5 linked regions of the Oryzias latipes genome follow. The protein of the gene in region 3 purifies or fractionates together with the protein of the main gene of each other region. This does not show direct contact. Links are inferred from orthologs where the notes say so. Each region holds a gene or a part of one and is shown on either strand. Other genes may lie near its edges.

Region 1 (4,194 bases), on a different chromosome or scaffold from region 3:
TGTAATCCATGGACACCAGTGAAGATCACAAATCATTGAAGAAAAAAGGTTCAGAGCACTGTCTAGTGGGTCTAGATGACCCAACTCCCTAGCCCAAGTGGCTAGGATAGCACAAGGGATACACTGACCAATCAGATGCCTCAGTAAAAGTATGCAGTGCCCGCTGGCCCCCACCTTGAACATTTGATTGACAAATAGATCTGACAGGCTTTTAGTGGAAGGGTTTGGACTTCAGACAAGCCTACTCCTGATTGGTGACAGCAGTTGCCCTAGAAACATGACAGACCGACTCGGACCAACCACTGTCGTCTGGCTCCAAAAGGCGACGCCTGTTTCACAGAAGAATGCTGACTGAATTGGCTTCATTCTGCTGGAGCCAGAGGAGAGGGTGATGTCCCACTGCTTAGTCCAGTTTTATATCCAGTCCATGAGTGAAGCTCAGAGCCCCCCCCCCCCCCCCTTTCCCTGCATGTGTGTACTTGAATTTGTTACCTTAAGAGGACCTGACCTTACAGAGCCGAAGTTCAAAGTGTTGAAGTCTCGCGGGTTACATTTGAAGGATGAGGGTGAACTGTGTATGAACGGGGGGGGGGGGGGGGGGGGGGGGGCTTCTTGTGTCTGTGTGTGATTGGGTTGCAGCTTAGCTTTGCTTGCTTGCTCCAACTGCTGCTCAGTTTTTACACTAGTCCTGGTTCTCAAAGGTGAGGAGTTCTTGAGGAGTTAGACCTGATCTAAGCGTTTCTTTAGTCAGCTTTAGAACCATTTGATGACCAAGGTGACAGGAACCTCCGGCTTCCTAGACCAGCTTTACTCCACTCCACTCTACTGGTTTGTAGAGTGGTCCAGTGGTCCAGTGTTCACCGCTCAGCGAAGTATCAAACATCAGTGGTTCTTCTCTGGTCCAGGGGGGAGTGGGTGTCCAAATAATCCATTTTCAAGACCAAGAGTCTGAGTTTAGGGGTAAAAAGCCAAAGAACTGATGTAGGGTCCCTGGAACCTGAACATGGGTTTGAGGGTGTGGAGGATGGAAACAACGGCCCCCTGGGGGGCCACGGAGCGGTCCCCACCGCGGTGACTAAGGGCGGGGCAAGCCGTCAGCTCGTGAAGTTTAAATCAGAATAAGGAAATGGACAGAAGTCAACGGGACGTCCTGCGAGCTTCACTGTGAAAGTCCTCACGAGGATATCTGCGCACGCTTCTGTGTGTGCTCCTGCGCGTGCGCGCCTCTTGGGGGAGGGGGGGGGCGTTCGTGCCTGCGGAGTCAGTCGCATTCCTGGCCGGGATTCAATGACTGAGCCAGACACAAACACGGAGGGGGCGGGGGCGCGGGGGCGCGCACGGCGCAGGGAGGGCGCGCGCGCAGCCTGCTCTCAGACCTCACCCCCCGCACTGTCAGACTGAACTGCGGGGGCACACGCAACGGATCGGCGCAGTCCTCGACAGCAGAGGAACCTAAGACGGGATTTGTCCCCCCTCCCTTCAGGTGCGCTCGCGGAAGCAGGCGCGCGGAACTCGGCGGCTCTCCGGAGTTTGCTCTCCGGCCTCAGAGGCGCACAGGCGGCGCGCAGCCCGACGGACGGACGGAGCGGCCGGTCCGGCTGCGCTCTGAGTCCCGGACTTTCCTCTCCTCAGAGCGGGTGTTTGATGACGCGCCTGGTGGGTTCGAGTCACTGCGGGACGCCGTGGATTTTCCAGCTTCAGGAACGGATCCGTTTTCGGGACTCCCGGTCAGCAGCAGCAGCAGCAGCAGCAGCTCCGCGGATCAGTAAAGTTGCAGGGAAAGCATGGAGGCTGTAAGTCGGCAGAGCTTCCAGCCTCATCCGGGACTGCAGCAAACTCTGAAGCAGTTCCACCTCAGCTCCATGATCTCTCTGGGGGGCCCGGCGGCGTTTTCCGCCCGGTGGCAGCATGAGCTCCTCTTCAAGAAGGACGGGAAGGAGCCCGAGCCGGCGCTGCAGCATCTGCCGCCGCCCGTCATGCCGGGCCCGCTCTTCATTCCGTCCGACCGCTCCACGGAGAGGTGCGAGACGGTGCTGGAGGGCGAGACCATCTCGTGCTTCGTGGTGGGCGGCGAGAAGCGCCTGTGCCTGCCGCAGATCCTCAACACGGTGCTGCGGGACTTCAGCCTGCAGCAGATCAACTCCGTGTGCGACGAGCTGCACATCTACTGCTCCCGCTGCACGGCGGACCAGCTGGAGATCCTCAAAGTCATGGGGATCCTGCCGTTCTCCGCGCCGTCCTGCGGCCTCATCACCAAGACGGACGCCGAGCGGCTCTGCAACGCCCTGATCTACGGAGGAGCCTTCCCGCCGCGCGCCAAGAAGGAGCTGGGGGGCGCGGGGGCGCTGGAGCTGCAGCTCACCGACAGGAGCTTCAAAGTCTACCACGAGTGTTTCGGCAAGTGCAAGGGCTTGCTGGTGCCGGAGCTGTACGGCAGCCCGAGCGCGGCGTGCATCCAGTGCTTGGACTGCAGACTCATGTACCCGACGCACAAGTTCGTGGTGCACAGCCACAAGGCGCAGGAGAACAGGACTTGCCACTGGGGCTTCGACTCCGCGAACTGGAGGGCGTACATCCTCCTGAGTCAGGATTACACGGGCAAAGAGGAGAAGGCGCGCCTGGAGCAGATCCTGGACGAGATCAAGGAGAAGTTCGACTTTGCAAACAAGTACAAACGGAAAGCTGCGTCCAGGGTGAGCCGCGCGCGTCTCAACGTCTCCGTTCTACAGAAAACATGACAAAAGTTGTCGTGACAGACCTGCCTCCCCCCTTAGTCAGTGTTTGCTCATCTATCAGGTGGTTAGTAATGCTGCCCCCCTCCCTGGTGGCAATAAAACACTTATTTGCCTCTTGGATTGCCTTAAAACAGCCTTTATTGGTCAGAACAGTAGATGGAAGCTCGTCTGCCAACAAATGGCTCTCGGGAAAGTGTAAACACTAGAGAGTGGGGGTTGTCTTGGGGGTGGGGGGCGATGACGAGGGACATTTCTGCAGGTGTAACTTAGTGTTGGTCAGGGGGGGGGGGCAGCTCTGGACTGATGAGTCTGTGAGGTGGTGAGTTAGCTTAGAGTTGTGGCCGATGTAGGACCCCCCCCCACACACACACACACAACACCCCCATGGGGGAGAAAAAGCCAGCGTGGCCATTTGCATGAACTGTTCCACATCAATGGAGCTGATGAGGCAGGCTTTGGGAGCATTGTGGAGGAAACATAATATGATCCCAACAAAGAGGAGCATTCAGTAAACATGGGGACCCCCCCCCCCCCCCCCCACACACACACACACACTCCAGCTCTGCTTTTTCTTCTCATCTGATTTAAAGCTCGGGGGACATGTGGGGGAGGCAGACCCTCTGCAGCTGAGTGCTGGAGTCCTATCATGCGCAGAGAAAAGTCCTGCAGAGGGGGGGTCCTCCTCTTGGTCAGGAGGTGTGCAGGGGTCTCACTCCTTTTTCTTTAGTTCCACTCAAATCATCTTTTGAATTTTTTTCAGTGGTCTTTCAATTATAATGAGGCAGTTTTTTAGCCCAAATCAAAAATCCTGTGTGGTTTTCTGGGTCGCGGCTGTAGCTGCCTCCGCTGAGACCCCAAAGACGGATCTGCAGGTGGATGCATCAGAATGGAGCAGAGCAGGGGCTCTTTCATCTCAGTAGCTGGAGAGGCGGCTCTGCGTCACGGTGACAGAAGTGAGAGCAGAAGTCTCGCATGCAGACAGACAAAGGAAGTCATATTGTCACACTTCCCTCCTCGCAGACTTTTCTTTCAAAACTCTTAACTGAGCTTCAGAGCTAAGGCTGCCCGCTGCGTCTCCTCTTCGGGGGCCTCAGGGCCGTGGCTGCAGTTCTGGTTTCTGGCTGGTGCACATGTGCCGGCACAGGCGACGAGTGTCTGTTTCTGTGTTAGGATGTTTAGATGAGCACAGCTGCAGATTTCTGCTGCAGACGCCAGACGGGATCAGGTTTCTGCAGGTTAGAGCCGACTGAAGGCGGCCGTCTCTGCTCAGAAGACGGATTGGGATGTAGATGTCAGACAGCGGCTCAGATAGATGCTCATTCATTAGAGCCCATGCTTACATTCCACACCTGCCGCTCCCTCAGCTCCTCCGTCACATGACGGCGTTCCTGACCAGACTTGAATGAAGTGTATGTCTGTGCAGCAAGCTCTGACTTCACTGCTGCAAACTTAGAGGGAA
Region 2 (4,221 bases), about 8.6 Mb from region 3:
AAAAAGAACTTGATCTGTCATCCATTTGTATTTTTCGGATTAAAAAAAAATCACTTTTTTCGGATTTGAGAGATCCTCTCCCCTCACAATGATCTTTTTTCCCCATAAGGAAGGGCTCCAATCACGCAGAGCTGTTATTGTGACCCCGCCCACCTATACCCTATAAATAATGCCACTTTTCTGCGTCATGAAAGGGCGATTTAAGTGCATGCCGTAGTGAAAAAAAGTTTGCTATGGCAAAATGAAAATGCAAAAATGAACCTGTGATTTTGAAACTCTTGCTGATGACAGGTGGGGAGAAATGAACGTCTGTGGATGGAACGTGATCGCCCCGTGTGCCCACCTGGTGTTTCTGGTCATGTTTTTGGCGTCACAGAGGCTGACATTTATTTCATTTATTTCATTTATTTCAAACAATTTTATTCAATTCTGTGCAACTTACAGTGTGTTTTCAATCAAGATTTGTGGCATCCCTACTACTTACTAACACTTGAAGTCTCTCTACAATCACTTTTTGATCTATAGTAAAAGCGTTCCCAGTGGTCTTTTAATTATGATTAGGACATTTTTAGCCAAAATATAAAAATCTGTGTCATTTTTAGGACATGCAGTACTTTCTGAAGAGCAGCAGTGGTTCATTAGAAATTCCCCTCCACCCCACTTCCCATCATCCATCTGTTTACACTCTCTCCCATTAGTTTACAGCCCGCCACACCTCCAACCTAACATTACCAGGCCAGCAAAAATGGCAAACAGTTTTGGAGCTATCCAGCCGAATACAGTTTTGAGCCAAATGCCTGCTTGGACGGGGAAAACAAAGACGTACATGGATCTAGTCGTCTACAAGTGGATGCATCAGAATGGAGCGGAGCAGGGAGCTCCTAGCTCGCCGTCTGTACTGTACTGCCTTCTTTTTCAAGGCTGATTCACAACAATTAGACCAAAGAAATTATCAGAAATGCCATTTTAAGCTTAATTTTCTTAATATATGTTGTCCATCATGAGAAATATCTCACAAGAACATGTTAAAAGTACTTTTTTTTTATTGGAGTGGGTATTTTATGAAACCTTTTATTTTTTTTATTTTTTAGAAAAGCCCACCAATAGAGATGGCTTCAGATGAATTTTTGAAAAATCAATTCAGCTTTTTTTTAGCCATTTAGCAAACACTAAGCAGATGAATGAGCCAGCACACAGAACATTTTATTTTTATATTTCGTTTTGCGCTCTTATATCTTCTACATTTATATAGCTAAACATCACACATTTGCTTTAGTGGAGTTCATATTTCCATGTTGTTGTTTGACAAACATATGTGTCTCAAATGTAGTTTGACAGCTTTGATGGTGTCACCCTAAATTGAATTGGTCAATATTCTAAATACAAAGTATAAATAAAGCTCTGTCCGTTCAACCTAATGACCCCACGTGCCAACATTTTGGGAAGGTCTTTCTGAGCATGTGCAGCTGTGTGGAGGGAATAACTCCTGGCAGTGGCAGCCTCTGACTGCGTGACAGAGCAGAGCTTCTGAAACATACCGCAGCGGTTGGATGTCAGCCGTCAGTGTTCCGAACGAGGTGCTGATAGACAAATAGCCGCGCAGGAGCACTGACAGAAAAGAGCCTCACTCGCCTACGCACTCGCAGCGCTAGAAAGCGCCCTAGATTAAGGCCAAGTTATATAACTTGGACTACATTGCTGCTGCTTTCACATCGCATGCGGTGTGTTGTTGTTGGCTATTCGCTGCACCGCCTCAGACGTGGGTTCACAGCAACAACTAAAAGCTAGAAAGTGCTATGATGATGATGATATAAGTCGACGTTTGGGGAAATGATTTGCTAGCTTTGCTCAGAAAACACCGTTAGCTCGGTTCATCAGCGGCCAAAATATGCAGAAATAAAACGCACAGGAAACCAAAGTTTGACATAATGATGCAGGGAAGCAACTAGAAACTTTCTGTCAAAAAGTGATGCCAGACAACAACACGACAGCTCAGACTGTGGAGGGCGGGTTGCAGTTTTCTGTAATAACTGAGTAACAGCAGAAGTTGGGATTTATCTAGCTAGAAATGCTGCATTCACGGTCAACGTTAACAGTCGCCATACCTTGGTATAGTGATGCATTTTGTGTTGATGCTCTGTGTGGTGATAGCTTTCTCGAGTTCATCCAACTGCCCCGTCTTCTTCAGCTTCTTCACCAGACTTTTTACCGCTTTTTCACACCACTTCTCCTCCTGGCCGTTCTGTTCTCCCTTCTTCCAGCCCAAAAGTCTTTTGACGATGGGGGGAGTGAAAGGCAAAATTGACATCTTGAGTTCAGTTAAGTAGTCCGTCCAGTGTCGAGGAATCCGCTGGTTTGGACAAATAAACAAAAACAACTTTGTCCACGACGCTCCAAATAACGGTGCTGCGCGCGTTATAACACTAAATATGAAATATTGCTCATTAAAATCCGCGCACGAGCATCTCTGGGTCAAACACTTGAAGCGCACTCGTCGCCCTGACTCGAGCTAAGCGCCGCACTGCGCACCGGTAGTTTATTGTTCCGTACTAATCCGCCACAAAACCTAGTTCCGTCTCAACTTTTTAAATTCAGAGCAACTAATTTTCTTTCAATATCAGTGTCTAACTGTTTTTCCTATTTGGATACACAATATACAGTAACCGCACTGTGTTACGTTTTCCTCGATAGTTCAACCGTTGAACCATAAAGTTTGGTAAAGTTTAAGTTCATCCGCGGTGCTGTGGCTCGCCGATTGAAGTCTGCTGAAAGTCTGCATCAAATGCAAATGCCGGAGCTGCTGCTGGCACTCTATTCAAGCTGCAGACTGCACAGCAGACCTCTGACAGTCCGGCCCGAGCAGCTGGCCAAAGGGCTTGTGCTGATATGACACAATCTAGGCCTGCTGATGCATCGCATGTGCCAGAATAAGCTGTCACATTCAAACAGACGCACTGCTCCTTCGATTCAGTTATGAAACACAGCTTATTGCACGTGGCTAATCTTACAATTCTTGAAATAGTTTTGTGTAACAGAAATGTTCGCTTGTAGAGTAAGATGTTTAAAAGTTGTGTCAAAATGTATTTGTACCATATTTTCGTGATGTTTTTGTACTTCAAGTTATCATCAACTTCGATTTCAATTAAAATAGGTTTCCATGAAAACAGTTACTTGAAAATGTGTCTGTTTGTGTGTTTATTTAATTCATACTTTATGCTTTTTTTTGTCTTTACTTGAAAGAGCTGCTACATTAAGGTGATAAGAGCCACTGCACACCGGCTCACTATCTACAAACCTGTTCTAACTTGCTTGATTTACAAACTGGTACTCAGGAAGGGTGTTATTTAAGTTGTGGCTTTGCTCTTCCCCCCCTTCCCCAAAACTGGTTCACAGTCAGATGCATCTTTCAATCTCGAAAAGGCATCTACAAGTCCTATATGACACGCAGGTTTGTGCACAAAGCAAAGAGTCAACTGCCAGATTGGCTGTGCACTGATGTGGAGCCCACCACAGAATGTGAAAATGGTTCAGGGTGTGATGTTGCTTTTGTTCTTTGGGCTTCAAAAGCAAGCGTTTACTGTTGTCAAGTACACCTTCCAAATCTGGGAGTCTTATGTCCTTGCAGGGTTGTAAAATTTGCACGTCTTGGTCAAAGAATCTGGTGTCTTGTGTTTTTATTTTCCTCCTGTTTCCTTCAGAGGCATCATTCACAAAAGAGTCATGATTTAGGTATGAGCGAAAAAAGTTCCACAAATGGAAAATAGAAGTGGAGGTTGGCGATGGTATTTAAAGAAAAATACATTAAAAGAGTAGAACTTTAGCTCCGGGTGGATCCTGGCAAAACCCAACTGGTGCGCTGTGATTGGGTCGTAAATTGAATCGTGGTTGTGTCAGAAATTCGTCACCTCTTAGTGCGCTATATATTTGTCATTTTATTGAGCTGTCTGAACCTACTTTTCCAAAATCAGTACCCTAAAAATCTTCCAGAAGATTGCAAAAAAGCTGTGCATTAATGCTCACTAGATTGACAAATAAAGACCACAATGCATTGTGTTTAAACAAATGTTTTCTTTGAAAAAAAAATGCATTTAAATTATTGTTTTGATAATCCATTCAAGTTTTAATCATTAGAACACAGTGGATTCATAAATAGTCTTTGCAAAATGTTCATATTTATTAGGTTTTTTTACTCCAGAAAAAAAATCAGTTGTGCAAACTGCT
Region 3 (4,281 bases):
TCAAAAGCAAACCAAGCAGACTCCTCAGAAAGATCTCAGCTCAGATCTGAACCACTAGCTGGCTCTGTACTACCCTGTCATTTTAACTTTACTCAATGAAACTTCTACCAGTTTATTGTTATACTGCTAACCAATGTTTCTACACGAAAACTGACAGTGTTCAATAAAAGGAAATGGGGGAAAAAATGACTAAAGCAATACCCACAGTATTTTCAGGTCCTAATAGAAAATTATTTAAAGACCTGCTCTGATGAAAATGGTGTTTTTGGTGATAATGTGTTGTTCTGCCATTTTTCTCATGATGGAGAACATATATAAAGAAAAGGAAGTGCAGAATTGCATTTCTGAGTATTTCTTTAGTCAAACTGTTGTGAATCAGGACCAGACAAAAAAAATGATGTTGGAAAAAGCTTGTAGCTATGACACAGAACCTACGACAAGCCACAAGCTCCATGCTCCACCTTATTCTGATGCTACATTCACGGCAGGTATGTCTTCCAAAATACGCAATACGCGTTTTCATGAAATCACGTTCAGTCCATGGTATTCACATCAGACAAGCATCATCTGAGTATCATGTAATTCCGGCTGGGCATAAACCACAATTATTGATTTCTCCTCCATGATCACGTTTAGAATGCTTGGCACATCGTGTTTTGAAAATGACGCTCCCCACACATCACCACCAAATCCGAGTCTCTGGTTGGTCAAAGTTTAGCTGTATGATGTTCAAGCAGTGGAAGGTTCAGATGAATGAACTTTCAGCGTGCGTTCCGGGAGCCCATTGACGGTATATTATAACTGGACGAATGGCGTGTGACATCACCCATAGAAAATGCTTTGATTCTGGTTCCAACCAATGAAGTCAATTCAATTGCCATTTTTCCCTTAATGTGTCCGCCGCCGTGTTGGAACCAGACTGCAAGAGCAAGAATAGCCATTCAAACATTCTGAATGAGTAATAGCTGTTTATTTCTTAAAATAAATTTATGGGATTTTGGCTTTTTGGGACCAGCGGGTACTTCCTATTTGGAACGCACAGGGGGGAGGGATTGTTCAGCTGTTTACAGGCTTTTACATAGACTTTTCCTCGAAAGTGGCTGTCTGAACGTGAGTTGACGCAGTCGGTGTGACTGTAGCTTCATGCATCCCACTGTGGACGATTTGATTCGTGAACGTCTTTGTTTTCTTCGTCTGAGCCGACATCCGGCTCAAAACGGTACGACTGGATAGCTCCAATATTGTTCACCATTTTTGTTGCACTAGTAATGTTATGTTGGGGGTGTGAGGGGCCGTAAGCTAGCCAGAGAGGGTATGGGGGGAGACTTACGGAGCGCTGACAATCCAGGCCACTATTCAGAGGTGAATTATTGATGAATTGTTGCTGCTCTGCAGAAACTATGTCCTAGAAAATGACACAGGTTATAGGATTTTGCCTAAAAACAGCATAATTATAATATAGGCTCTTTGAAAATAGATCAAAAGATGATTGGAGTGGGACTTTAAATATAGGTTCCAGCTTTAAAATAGTACAAGTTAGCATTTTTAATTGGCACAACCTCAGTACTACAAGAGGATCTCAAATCTCATTTGTCAGACGTTTCTGGTCCGCATTGATATGTTGGACTTGCACATTAAGTGGATGTTTTCTCAGTTCATTTAGTTAGTAAATACATTCACTTCACCTAAAGATGAGACCCCCCCCCCCCCCTCAAAGCTGTAAAAATGGCAAGTTAAGTGAATTAAATCATGAAGCATATCACACACAGCTCTCTTAAAAGCAAAGTTGTAGGAGAGAAATGCGAAATGCCAGAGAAAAAGCTGCGCAATGACAGGCATGGAGCCGAGGGCCTCAGAGAGGAACCCTCAAGGGGAAAACTAAACATCGATGCAGAATAACCGGGTGTTTTTATATTTGCCTTATGCGCAAATACGAGCGGATAACTTTGAACAAGTTGGACATGCTACTGTCACATCAAGTCGGCCTTGCCAACGTAACATTTTGGTGTCACTGAAGTGGCACAAGTACAGCAGCTCCTGAGCTGAGCTCTGCCGTCCGACCGCTTCTGTCTGTGCAGCAAAATAAAATGACCAAGTGCAAGTCCTCTGATGAGGCGAGCAAAACGCCAATGGAACCGGACTGACATCGAGCTGAAAGCAAAGGCTTTGCATAGTTTCTACAACGCTAAACAATTCTAATAAGCCAGCTGTCCGTATGTATGTCTGTGTCCCACAAACGTTGCTAAAGTGACTGAGGCCAAAGTGATGTTATATCAAAATAACTAGGATACATATAAGCATAGTTATTCATTAATATTAAATTATTCGATATATCGGGTGTATGTCCAAATGAAGAACATGAAGAATATTTCAGACAGAAGACAACAAAGACACCACGTACTATAGTCTAAGACCTTGTTTTAAAAATATGTCATCATCTTTTTTTCTCTGTCTCTCATTTAAAGATGTAAAATCCCAAAGGAAAGCTGTGGCTAACGTTAAGAGCAGATTTGTTTGTAAATATGTTGACTCTTCCTGCATTACGATGCGCCAACAAAGAAATCGCAGCCAGAGGAAGGCAGTGGCTGGGATTGTGAAACTGACAACAGTCCCAACCAGAGCCGAGAAACAAAATCAGGCAACGGGGCCTGGGTAGCGGCGAGCTAAGCTAAGGCTAGCTGCACTCCACTGGTCAAATATTCGACTATATTGAGTAATTCTGATCTATTAAAAGCTTCTGACAACCTCAAAAATATGCTATAACCTCTCTATCATGTTTTTGTCTTAGAAAATAGAAGTGGCTCACTGTTTGCCCTCGACGAAGTTCCATTCCAGCCTTGCGAGACATTCACTGTTGTTTACCCAGCAGGTTGTCTGCTGGAAGGCTACGGCTAAAGCCTCTGCGTTTCCCGCACAGCCGCACGGGGGCGTCAGAGATCCCAACCTGCGAGCAGAATTTTTACGACGCTTTGCGACAGTTCGTCTCCTTTCTTTCTCTATTTTAAAACAGTCCCGAATGGTTACGGTACATACACCGATACGATAGCTAATATTTGCATTCAGAGAATTTTTGTTTATTATTTTTTTTTCCAAGAGAAAAAAAATCTTATATTTCTTAAAATAAAATAACTGAAGTCTTTATACGTATCATTGATTTCAATGGACGTCGTCCATGTACAATACCACAGCACCCTCTAGTGGATCAATTTGAAATAAACAACAACAAAAAATAACACAACTCCCTAATTTATTTGGATTGATGGTTTATTACAAACTAAATGAAATTATCAGATTTTAAGATAATGTCATATTATGGAATGTTTACCTGGAGAAAATTAGATTTTTAATTTTATGCCAAATATCTTTCCTACCAACAACAGTTAATACTGTTTGTCAATTGGAAATCAGAGTCAGCTTGCAAGATAAATAAATTATATGTTTTCATGGGAATTCTTTCTCAGAGAACGTTTCTTTTATCATTAAAATTTATCATAAACATCTCTTGTACACAACATATTAATAAATATGCGGTTGACAGACTTATGATCAAATTTGATAAATTTGGGAAAAACAAAACCGTAGAACACATTTGTAACTATGACGACATGTAAATATTTTATAATCTAAGGGCAATTCCTTAAGTAAATCCTAACTTCCATAAAAAAAAAAAATTACTTTTTATGTCTCTAAAGGGTTTTTTGTGAAGGTGCCTTAACAATAATGGATCCCATGTCAGTGTGGAATCAAGTCTTCCGTTATCCTGTATATTCTGTATCACAATTTTGCTTTTTTTTTTTAGTCTTTTCATTTCCTATGCTGCTTCTACTTAATCAGTGCAGTCTGTCAGTTGTAATTGTTATAGTGAATGGAGCACATTCAACATCAACAAACCATGGTTCACTGCTAAGCTGAGGCAACTACGTCAGGACAAAGAAGAGGCCTACAGGAGTGGTGATTGGGACCGGTACAAGGAAGCCAAGAATAAGCTGACAAAGGAGATCAAGGCCACAAAGAGGACCTACACTGCAAAGTTGACATACTAGTTTTCTGCCAACGACTCTACTGCAGTTTGGAAAGGCCTGCTGACCATCACCAACTACCGGAGACCATCCCCCCGCCCCTCAGACAGTTACCACCTTGCTGAGGAGCTTAACGACTTCTACTAAAGGTTTGAAAGAATTTAACCGTCCCCCTCAGCCATCATTTCCATCACACAGGATCGACCTGCAATCCCAACCTCCCCCACACCTGCCCCTCATCTGCACGGAGGATCTGTGAACG
Region 4 (3,690 bases), on a different chromosome or scaffold from region 3:
GTAAAAGCGGTTAAGAGACAGGAAGTGGGAGGTGTGCAGGTGCGCACCCCCCCGCCTACACCCGACCTCGGGGCTCACACTTTCCCTGCCAAAGCGCTACCGAACCGCCCACCAACTTTCCCCGCGTCGGTGTGGGAGCGCTGAACGCCGCCGCGCGCTGTCCCACAGCTGAGGCTGGCCTCAGAGGTGCATCATGGGAAATAATAGAATGGAGGCATTGATTACATTCACTAAGATCTGGGCGGGCAGAAGTGTGATAGAGAGGCTGAGATGAAGGAGGGTGGGGCTTAAAGAGTAAAAGAAGGGGTCTAGCAAACAGAGGGGGGGTCCAACAGCTGTAGACGTGACTCATCACTGGAGGGGGGGTCACTAACCGCCCGTTTATCACCATCAAATGTGTGTGTGAGATCATTTTTGTACAGGTGTGTTTCATACAAATGAAAAGTCGTCACGTTTTCTTTTGTTCTGTTCACATAAATGCTGAAAAACTTCCAGCTGATCTGGAATCTCAGAGTAAATGTTGGTTTTAGAATCAAACCTTTTTTCTCACTGTAATAAAATCAAATGGAGACTTTTGTAAAAACAAACGTTGGTCTCAAACTGGAACTCCGGCGTTTGTCAAACAGAAGCAGCATTTCATGGACGTGTTTGGTTCTGAACCGCTGTCTGCTCACTCACCCACTGGGGGCTCGTCCGGGGCTCTGTGGCCGTAGTGCTGTCTGAGCAGCGCCCCCAGCATGTCGGGGTTCACCTCCGCCTCCCTCCGCAGGGACACGTTGGGCGCCACCATCTTATCGTAGGTGTACAGGTAGTAACTGCAGAGAAAAGGAGACGCATGACAGCATAAAGATGAAGCAGCTGCTCTGTTTGCTTTGGTGGGGGGGTCCACCACTCAACCTCCAGCCAGTCTTTTAGCTCCTCCAGAGGAGACTACAGGCCCTCACTTCCTGTTTGTGTGGGCTGCACGCCAAGAAGAGGGGCGCTGAGACTCCCTGCCCCCCAAGGGAGGCTGCAGCACTGAACCAGGTGAAGCCTGACAGCTCAGTGGCTCTGCTGCCCCTCCCTGTGCCCCCCACCCCAAAAAAGAACAGTTCTCAGATGTCAGCAGAGACCTGGCCCCCCTCCCCCCTCTCTGTGCACAGAGGCTGCCAGGTGACCAGACCCCCCCACACACACTCTGACGTCAGTCATCAACCACAGCAGCATAAACCCCGAATTCTTGGCTGTAATCCCAGTCAGATTAATGGGGGGGGGGGGGGGGGGCTCCTCCAAAAAACAAACTTCGAATAAACAGTTTTCTATGGCAAAGACTCCATTACCCAGAAGCCTCAGCAGCACAGGTCTGATCATGTTGTCCCCATGAAAAATGGAGTCTGATTCTGAACGTCAGGGCGTCTGCAGCCAGAGGCATGATGGGAACCTGAGTGTCTTTTGTGAGCGAGTCAGGTGCAGTACCTGGGATGGACCAGGGTGGGGGGTCCTGGCTCCTCCTTGATGTCTGGGAAAACATGGCTGTAGAGCAGAGCGGGGGGAGACGGTTTACCCTGTGGAGCACAAATCATACAAACTGGGAATGTGACACAACAGCAACAAAAAAGACTTTATAAGACACAAAAGACAGAGAAAAAGTCACACACACACACACACACACAAAGACGGTGAGAGGTACAGATGTAGACCGTAGGGGGCGGGGCTTTGACTGACCTTTCTGGCAGGTTCAGCATCGTCCAACTTATTAACAGAGCAGAGATCTGCAGAGTTCTTCCTCACGCGGCCCTCCTCTTCCTCCCCCGTCTTCTGATGTACGGAGAGAAACAGGACATAGGTCAAAGGTCAGACATTTGCTGCAGAGACAGGAAGTGAGAAAGATGGTTCCTGATATTCTACTGAAAATAAATATTCCGGAAACTGTTCACAGAAACGATTTTCAAAACAGGTCAGAGGTCAGACAAATGCCACAGAGACAGGAAGTGACCCCGGAACCGTGGCTGCAGGGAAACAAAACGGACTGAAAGGTTTGGACGGATCCAGACCCGATGATGGTTTGATGATCAGCGGTTTGGTGAACGCTGCAGATGAAGCGCCTCCGTGTTTTAGACTGGAGACGACCCTTTAGACAAAGGAGACGGACTACACGTCCAACTGGGGCGTCTGACACAGAAAAGGCGTGAAAAAGGGTGACCTCAGCGCAGAGGAGGCGGAGACCAGAAGAGCAGAAGGTCAAAAGGAGGCATGGCGAACGCCTCCTAACAGACAGAGGAGGTCCGTGACAGACATGAGGGTCTTCATCATCAGAAGGAAGGAGCATGAAAACTACGCAGGAAAAGTCCTGTGACCTTCTGAGCGAGCCTGCCAGATCAGAATGAGGGATTTTCACAATAAAACCATCAGAATGAGGGATTTTCACAATAAAACTGATCAATCGGCAGTGAGACAAAAATCTATAGAGAGATAATCTGCAGAGCCCCCCCCCCTCCACAGACATGTCGAGTGCGTCAGAACATGCGCCCCCCCCGGCTGCAGGTGGGCCGGAGCACAGGCGGGGGCTCGTCCGTCTGAAAATACTTGTGGTTGGAGGTTTTTCCTTTTTTCCATCCAGGAGGCAGCACTGCAGAGCCGCCAGGGAGGAGGGGGGAGGACAAAAGGAGAAAACAACACTGCGGTGGAAGTTCTGTGGAACCCCCCCCCAGCAGGGATTTTACACTTTGTGTGATTCCCGTTTGTCCTCGTGCATGTGCACGTGCGTGTGCATGTGACAGTAAACCAAGAATGTCAGAACACTACCACCCACACACGTTTATAGCAGAGCAAAGAGCGTGTTGATAATGAGCACATGCACTGCTGTGGCGTGGGGGGGGGGTCACTGTCAGGTGAGCAGGAAGGGCGGCGGGAAACAGGAAGTTTAGGTGTCACCATTCGTTCATGTCTCAGAGGTTGTGGTTTCTGTCTGAACCCTACAGTTCATGACCTAAGTGCAGGTTCTGACCCAGGACGGCCCACTACAAACACAACCCCCCCCCCAAAGGATGAGCACTTCTTTGTGCCCCCCTCCCCACACACACCTCCTGACAAAGGCAGATCCCACTCCGCGCTGAACTCTGCTGTTCTTAATCACCTGCAGTCTGTCGGCTTCACACGCATCACCCCCGAGCGCCGCAGACACACGCCGCCATGTGAACTTCAGTGACCCACTTCCACGGCGCACGTGACATTTCTGCAGCAGGCGCTCATGCAGAGGCAGGAGCTGCAGGAACATCCGTGACTCTGTCTGTGTGTGTCTGCGGTCATTTCTTCAGTTTGGGACCAGAGGACTCGTCCTCCTCTCAGAAAGCAGGAGGAGGCCCCGGCTGGACGCTACACCCCTGAGGCAGAGGAGCCTTTGACACAAACCGACACAGACGGAGGTCCAGCCCCTACGTGGTCACGTGGACTCCCCTCACGCACAGAGACGCTGTGCTATAAACAGAGATGGTATCTCCATACGTGCACGGTAACGGACAGACGTGCACGCACTTTCCTCACAGAAACCTGAGATCAAGCAGAGATCCGGTTCAGAGCAGATCCTTCATGAAGCTCAGAACTACAGAGACCAGGAACCACCTTAACATCAGAGTTCTGTCGCCGACCCCCAGATGAACACCCCCCCTGGAGGAGCAGCATGGTTTCTGCTGGCCCTCCCCACACAGACTG
Region 5 (4,472 bases), on a different chromosome or scaffold from region 3:
AAAGCCACTTTCTCCTTCTTCTGACTAACTGGCTGGCTGACAGTTGGCTGTTTAACTCCGGGCTGTTTCTGCGCCCATGGAGGCTGAGATGATCAGAAATAAGAGATAATTAAAGACGAGGGTTTGGTCTTCAAAGCGGATGTAACCCATGACGATGCTGTGGCCTGCTGCCACACGGGGGCCCGGGTCAAGTCAGAAAACAAGTGTTGGGTGGTGGTGGTGGTGGAGGGGGGGGGCAATCACTTTGAGTGGAGAAAAGACCCCCCTCCCTCCCAAACACACACCGCAAACCCCACTCTTAATCTACTGATCATTCCATCTGATAAAGGCTGACTGGCTCCAGACTCTGTTGTCTGTCTCTCTCAGCACTGTGGTTCACAATAGATAGATGGACAGACCACCCCCCCAACCCCACCCCCAACTCAGACATGCACACAAGCCCTGGTGACATGCCAGTCAGTCCATAGCTGGTATCTCAACTTCGTATTGCCTTGCCCTGGCTGCTAGCCACATTAGAATTGGCCAGCCAGCCAGGCGTGTCACTCTGCCCCCCCCCCACACACACACAACTCCCCATAAATCACAACACCATTTCCTGCAGAGGACACCAACGTGAAGTGCAGCTCATGACATCACTTCAAACATGCATATTATTGCACAAACAAACAAACAAAAAGCAATGACTTAGGAAATATCCATGTGAAATGATGCATCAAGCTCACCTGGTGGTTTCAAATAGTCCATGGGATATCGCGAATAAGGAGGAGGAGGAGACTCTGTGTGGAGGAGGAGGGGGGGAAAGAAAAAAAACTGCATGAGAAAAGAAGAGGAAGAAAAAAAACACAAAGGAGAGATCTGAACTTTCTGATAAGAGTTGTCATTCTTCAGGGGAGGGCTGATTTGTGCCTGTCAGCTCCGCCTGGAGAAGCAGGCAGTGAGGCTGGCCGGGCGGCTATTGCCTTTCATTGGCAGGCAGATAAACAGGGGGCCGCCTGGCGCCAGAAGGGCCACTATCAGCGTCTAGGACAAACTGAGATACGGGCCTCTTTTGGCCCGGGACGCCAAGCAAGCACACACACACATAAACACACACATTTCAAGACTGGAGAGTCTTTCTGTACTTTGGATGCCAATTATGAAATGTTGAAATTCTTAACAGGGGTGTTTGGAAATCTGAAACCGCGACAATGCGTATAGCTGAGGAGGATTTGAGTTTTGGAAAAAAAAAATCAAATGGAACAATTAATTAAAGTAGGTTTCTATTCAAACTCGACCACCAAACCTGCTAAAAGGATCTGGCACAGCTTCAGATCAATGGAACCTGAAGACCACTGTGCCAGAGAGGTGTTGTCATTAGAATTAGGTTAATTGGCACAGTCTTTTTCAGCCTTCTCTCCACCTAGGACCTCATTTTTTTGGAGTTTTTTTTAGTGAAAATATTGAAGCTCACCGAGTTCACAGAGCCTGCTCATGTGGTGAGGGTTGCAGCAAACGAGCTCGGGGTTGGCTTTCCCGTAAGATTCACAGCACGACAGCCTCTTCAGCTCCGAGGAATGCCTGAGGTCCGGCCACCTGAACACTTTGTAGAGCAGCATGGGGAGGGAGTAAGACTGTTGACCCACTTTGGCGTCCACTTTGCTGGGCAGGAGAAGGCAGGGGCTCCGGACGCCCCCCTTGGACTCCACCGCCTGCAAAAGCACCTCTAATTGTTTTTCTTTGATCTTTTTCAGTACCGAGTGGGTCAACGCCTTCAATTCGGCCTCCGACCCCGCGTTGGACTTGGCCACTTTTGTCGCTTTGCCCATGCAGCAGCCCCCGGAGCCATGCGTCCCTCTATCCGTCTCCCCGTCGCCCTCCACGGGCGCACGGCTCCTCCAGAGTCGCCGGACGAGCCCCGATCGTTTGGTCCTAAACATGCGGGACGAAAAGAGGGTTTCCCGGCTAAAAAACGAGCATGGTGTCCGCAAATCATGAAGATTCCGGGATCCGAGTCCAGGCAATGACAAGCAGCCTGAGAGAAAACGGTGGAAAAACTGGGAGCTGGAGAAGCAGAGGAAATCTATAGCATGCGCCAGTCTCTGAAGCTGTTTTTCCTGCAGAAAGGTCACCAGAAAGCGCTCGAGGTTGGCGGGACAGCCAACGTTTCCACGATCAGAATACAAAAAAAAAAAAAGATCACATCTATGAGCTTAGAAACACCAAACCGGAGCAGGAAACCTGCAGCAGCGGAGCTGCGTGAAGCCCGAATGCGTTACAGTTTTGTGCAATCCGGCGCTGTGAACTGACCCCTTTAAAAAAACGCCGTGACGGTTTACAGCGGGGGGAAAAACGCTGTCAGAAATGTTTATTCAAGTCACAACTAACTGGTACTTATAAGAAAAACCTAAGGCCTAATTAAGCCTCAACGCTGGCGCAATCATCCCATGAAAAAGCGAAGCTCTCCGCCGCGTCTTGAGTAGCATAATCCACAAAATCCTTCATCCGAGCGCACGAACTGGGGCTCCCCACCTTTAAATGTATATTTTAGTATGTAGTGGATGAGGTCTTCTGGTAAAATAGTGAGCCAAGGAGAAAAAAATCCAGGTCTCCCACCGGAGTTGAGTCGCGTTTGTAAAGCCACAGCAAGACCCTCCGTTTTTCTTTTTCTTTTTTGCGTCCACGCAGCGAGCCTGCTTTTAGCAATCCCTCCAGATAAAATAATCCAAAATCGTATCTCTCACGGAGTTTCCGTGGCTGAGCGTGGAGGAAAGCGAGCAGACAGCTGATCTGGTCCGGGCTAAAGGGCTCTCTGTCTGTAAATGAGGCGGATGGTTTGGGTGCCCTTGCTCCGTCTCCAGTCTCCAGTGCGCATTGACGCGCCCGGTCACGTGTGTGTCTAGACACCCTGTCGCTTAAAAGAAATGTGATTGTGTTGCGCAAACAACAGATCAAGTAGAGCCCACGGTGCACACACACACACAAGCGCGCGCGCGCACTTAGAAAACACAAATGAGAAAGTTTACGCCACAAAAGTTTAATATTTGCAGAAAAAAGAACAACATTAAAAAAATTTCTCAGTTAAATTATTTAGTAAATCTGCAGATTTTTTGGTTTGCTTTCAGTCCTAAAATAATGTTTATATATATATATATATATATATATATATATATATATATATATATATATATATATATATATATATATATATATATATATATATATATATATTCAATCATTAATTTCACGCTTGTACTGAATAAGCAGTAAATACGTGTTTCATCGTTAAAGCTATGAATCAGTTTAATATATCTTCATAGCTTTTCGCCACTGTTGCCATGGTGATCACACAGGGCAGTTTTATTGTTTTGGAGAGTTTATGGCTGGAGTTGAATTTAGGAAGTGAGCCACAGTGCTGACTCCTTCGGGGGAGCTCGTTGCTGCCCCCCATCGGACATGTTCGGTACTACACACACAAAGAGTTCCCACCCATCTTTATTTATCCAGCAGATCAATCCATCAGCTGAGGATCAAATTTGTCTTTTCTTGTCTTTTTAACATGTGCCAGCCTTCCTTCTGTGTCATTGCCCTCATGGAATCCATATTAATTATAACAGACTTATATATGTCTGGAATTTAGCTCAATGTTGGTGCCAAAAATGTACAAATACAGCTTGATGGGGAACACTCACTGTGATGTCTCACTTCAAACCCAATAAATTTAACACGTTTTAGGAGAAATTGTTCTTTTAAACAGAAATGAACCGTTTCTGGTCTGCAGACTTCCCTCGACAGACAGTAGTCCCGGGGAGGAGATGCAGTCAGCAGTATGTTAATATGACAGAGTTGCTGCAGGGCATGGGGGTGGGCGGCAGATAATGATGGTGGCAGAGATGTGTGGGGTTGAGGAGGGGTGTGTGTGCATGCGTGGAGGAGATGGAGAAAGATGGGGGAGGAGGTGGGGTGTGTGTGTGTATGTGTGTGTGTGGGGGGGGGGGGGGGTATCAGTCGTTTATCCCCCCCGTATTGTTCCCCCGGATCCCCAACTGGCGCCGAGGAGGAGCGCGCCACTGCAGCCCCAAACCGAGCAGAGGGACTGCGGCGCGTTCCTGGAGGAGTCTGGAAGCAATCAGTCAGGGGTGGGGTGGGGGAAAGGGGGTCTGTCAGGGGGGCTCTGTGGAGGTGCCTGCTGCTGCTCTCGTGCGCTGTCCCCTCCCCTATCCACCAATCTGCATGCCCTTCCCTTTGTTTGCATGAGACCAGTCTCCAGACTCCAGGAAGTAGACACTTTTATCTAACCGTTTGCCATCTCGGGCTGCCTGAAGAGTCTGTCTGCAGGCTGTGGAGCGGGGCTGTTTTCAATAAAAACTGTGCTCTGAGCTGAGACCCGTGTTTTTATTTACCCTTCAAGACAAAGTCTGCAGACGCAGAACATTTAGCTGCTCATTTAAAGACCCATTCCATTGTATTTTTTATCATGTTCTTGTGGCATTTTT

Evidence for each region.
Region 1: the proteins of rnf111 (region 3) and ski purify together in Homo sapiens (affinity purification with western blotting, with the first as the bait; 3 studies listed by BioGRID). This does not show direct contact. The link is inferred for Oryzias latipes from reciprocal best matches to the Homo sapiens genes RNF111 and SKI.
Region 2: the proteins of rnf111 (region 3) and mothers against decapentaplegic homolog 3 purify together in Homo sapiens (affinity purification with western blotting; 5 studies listed by BioGRID). This does not show direct contact. The link is inferred for Oryzias latipes from reciprocal best matches to the Homo sapiens genes RNF111 and SMAD3.
Region 4: the proteins of rnf111 (region 3) and skil purify together in Homo sapiens (affinity purification with western blotting; 3 studies listed by BioGRID). This does not show direct contact. The link is inferred for Oryzias latipes from reciprocal best matches to the Homo sapiens genes RNF111 and SKIL.
Region 5: the proteins of rnf111 (region 3) and smad7 purify together in Homo sapiens (affinity purification with western blotting; 3 studies listed by BioGRID). This does not show direct contact. The link is inferred for Oryzias latipes from reciprocal best matches to the Homo sapiens genes RNF111 and SMAD7.

What each region holds. Positions count from the first base shown.
Region 1 is NC_019865.2:32,981,576-32,985,769, forward strand, and holds the start of ski (ski oncogene), read left to right. Parts: upstream 1-1,345; 5' UTR 1,346-1,784; coding exon 1,785-2,693; intron 2,694-4,194. UniProt on the Homo sapiens protein: May play a role in terminal differentiation of skeletal muscle cells but not in the determination of cells to the myogenic lineage. Functions as a repressor of TGF-beta signaling.
Region 2 is NC_019861.2:12,649,848-12,654,068, forward strand, and holds the start of mothers against decapentaplegic homolog 3, read right to left. Parts: upstream 2,823-4,221; 5' UTR 2,309-2,822; coding exon 2,106-2,308; intron 1-2,105. UniProt on the Homo sapiens protein: Receptor-regulated SMAD (R-SMAD) that is an intracellular signal transducer and transcriptional modulator activated by TGF-beta (transforming growth factor) and activin type 1 receptor kinases.
Region 3 is NC_019861.2:21,227,889-21,232,169, forward strand, and holds the start of rnf111 (E3 ubiquitin-protein ligase Arkadia), read right to left. Parts: upstream 2,915-4,281; 5' UTR 2,807-2,914; intron 1-2,806. UniProt on the Homo sapiens protein: E3 ubiquitin-protein ligase. Required for mesoderm patterning during embryonic development. Acts as an enhancer of the transcriptional responses of the SMAD2/SMAD3 effectors, which are activated downstream of BMP.
Region 4 is NC_019875.2:30,152,909-30,156,598, forward strand, and holds part of skil (ski-like protein), read right to left. Parts: intron 1,798-3,690; coding exon 1,705-1,797; intron 1,545-1,704; coding exon 1,456-1,544; intron 816-1,455; coding exon 679-815; intron 1-678. UniProt on the Homo sapiens protein: May have regulatory role in cell division or differentiation in response to extracellular signals.
Region 5 is NC_019870.2:9,759,826-9,764,297, forward strand, and holds the start of smad7 (mothers against decapentaplegic homolog 7), read right to left. Parts: upstream 2,869-4,472; 5' UTR 1,917-2,868; coding exon 1,451-1,916; intron 777-1,450; coding exon 723-776; intron 1-722. UniProt on the Homo sapiens protein: Antagonist of signaling by TGF-beta (transforming growth factor) type 1 receptor superfamily members; has been shown to inhibit TGF-beta (Transforming growth factor) and activin signaling by associating with their receptors thus preventing SMAD2 access.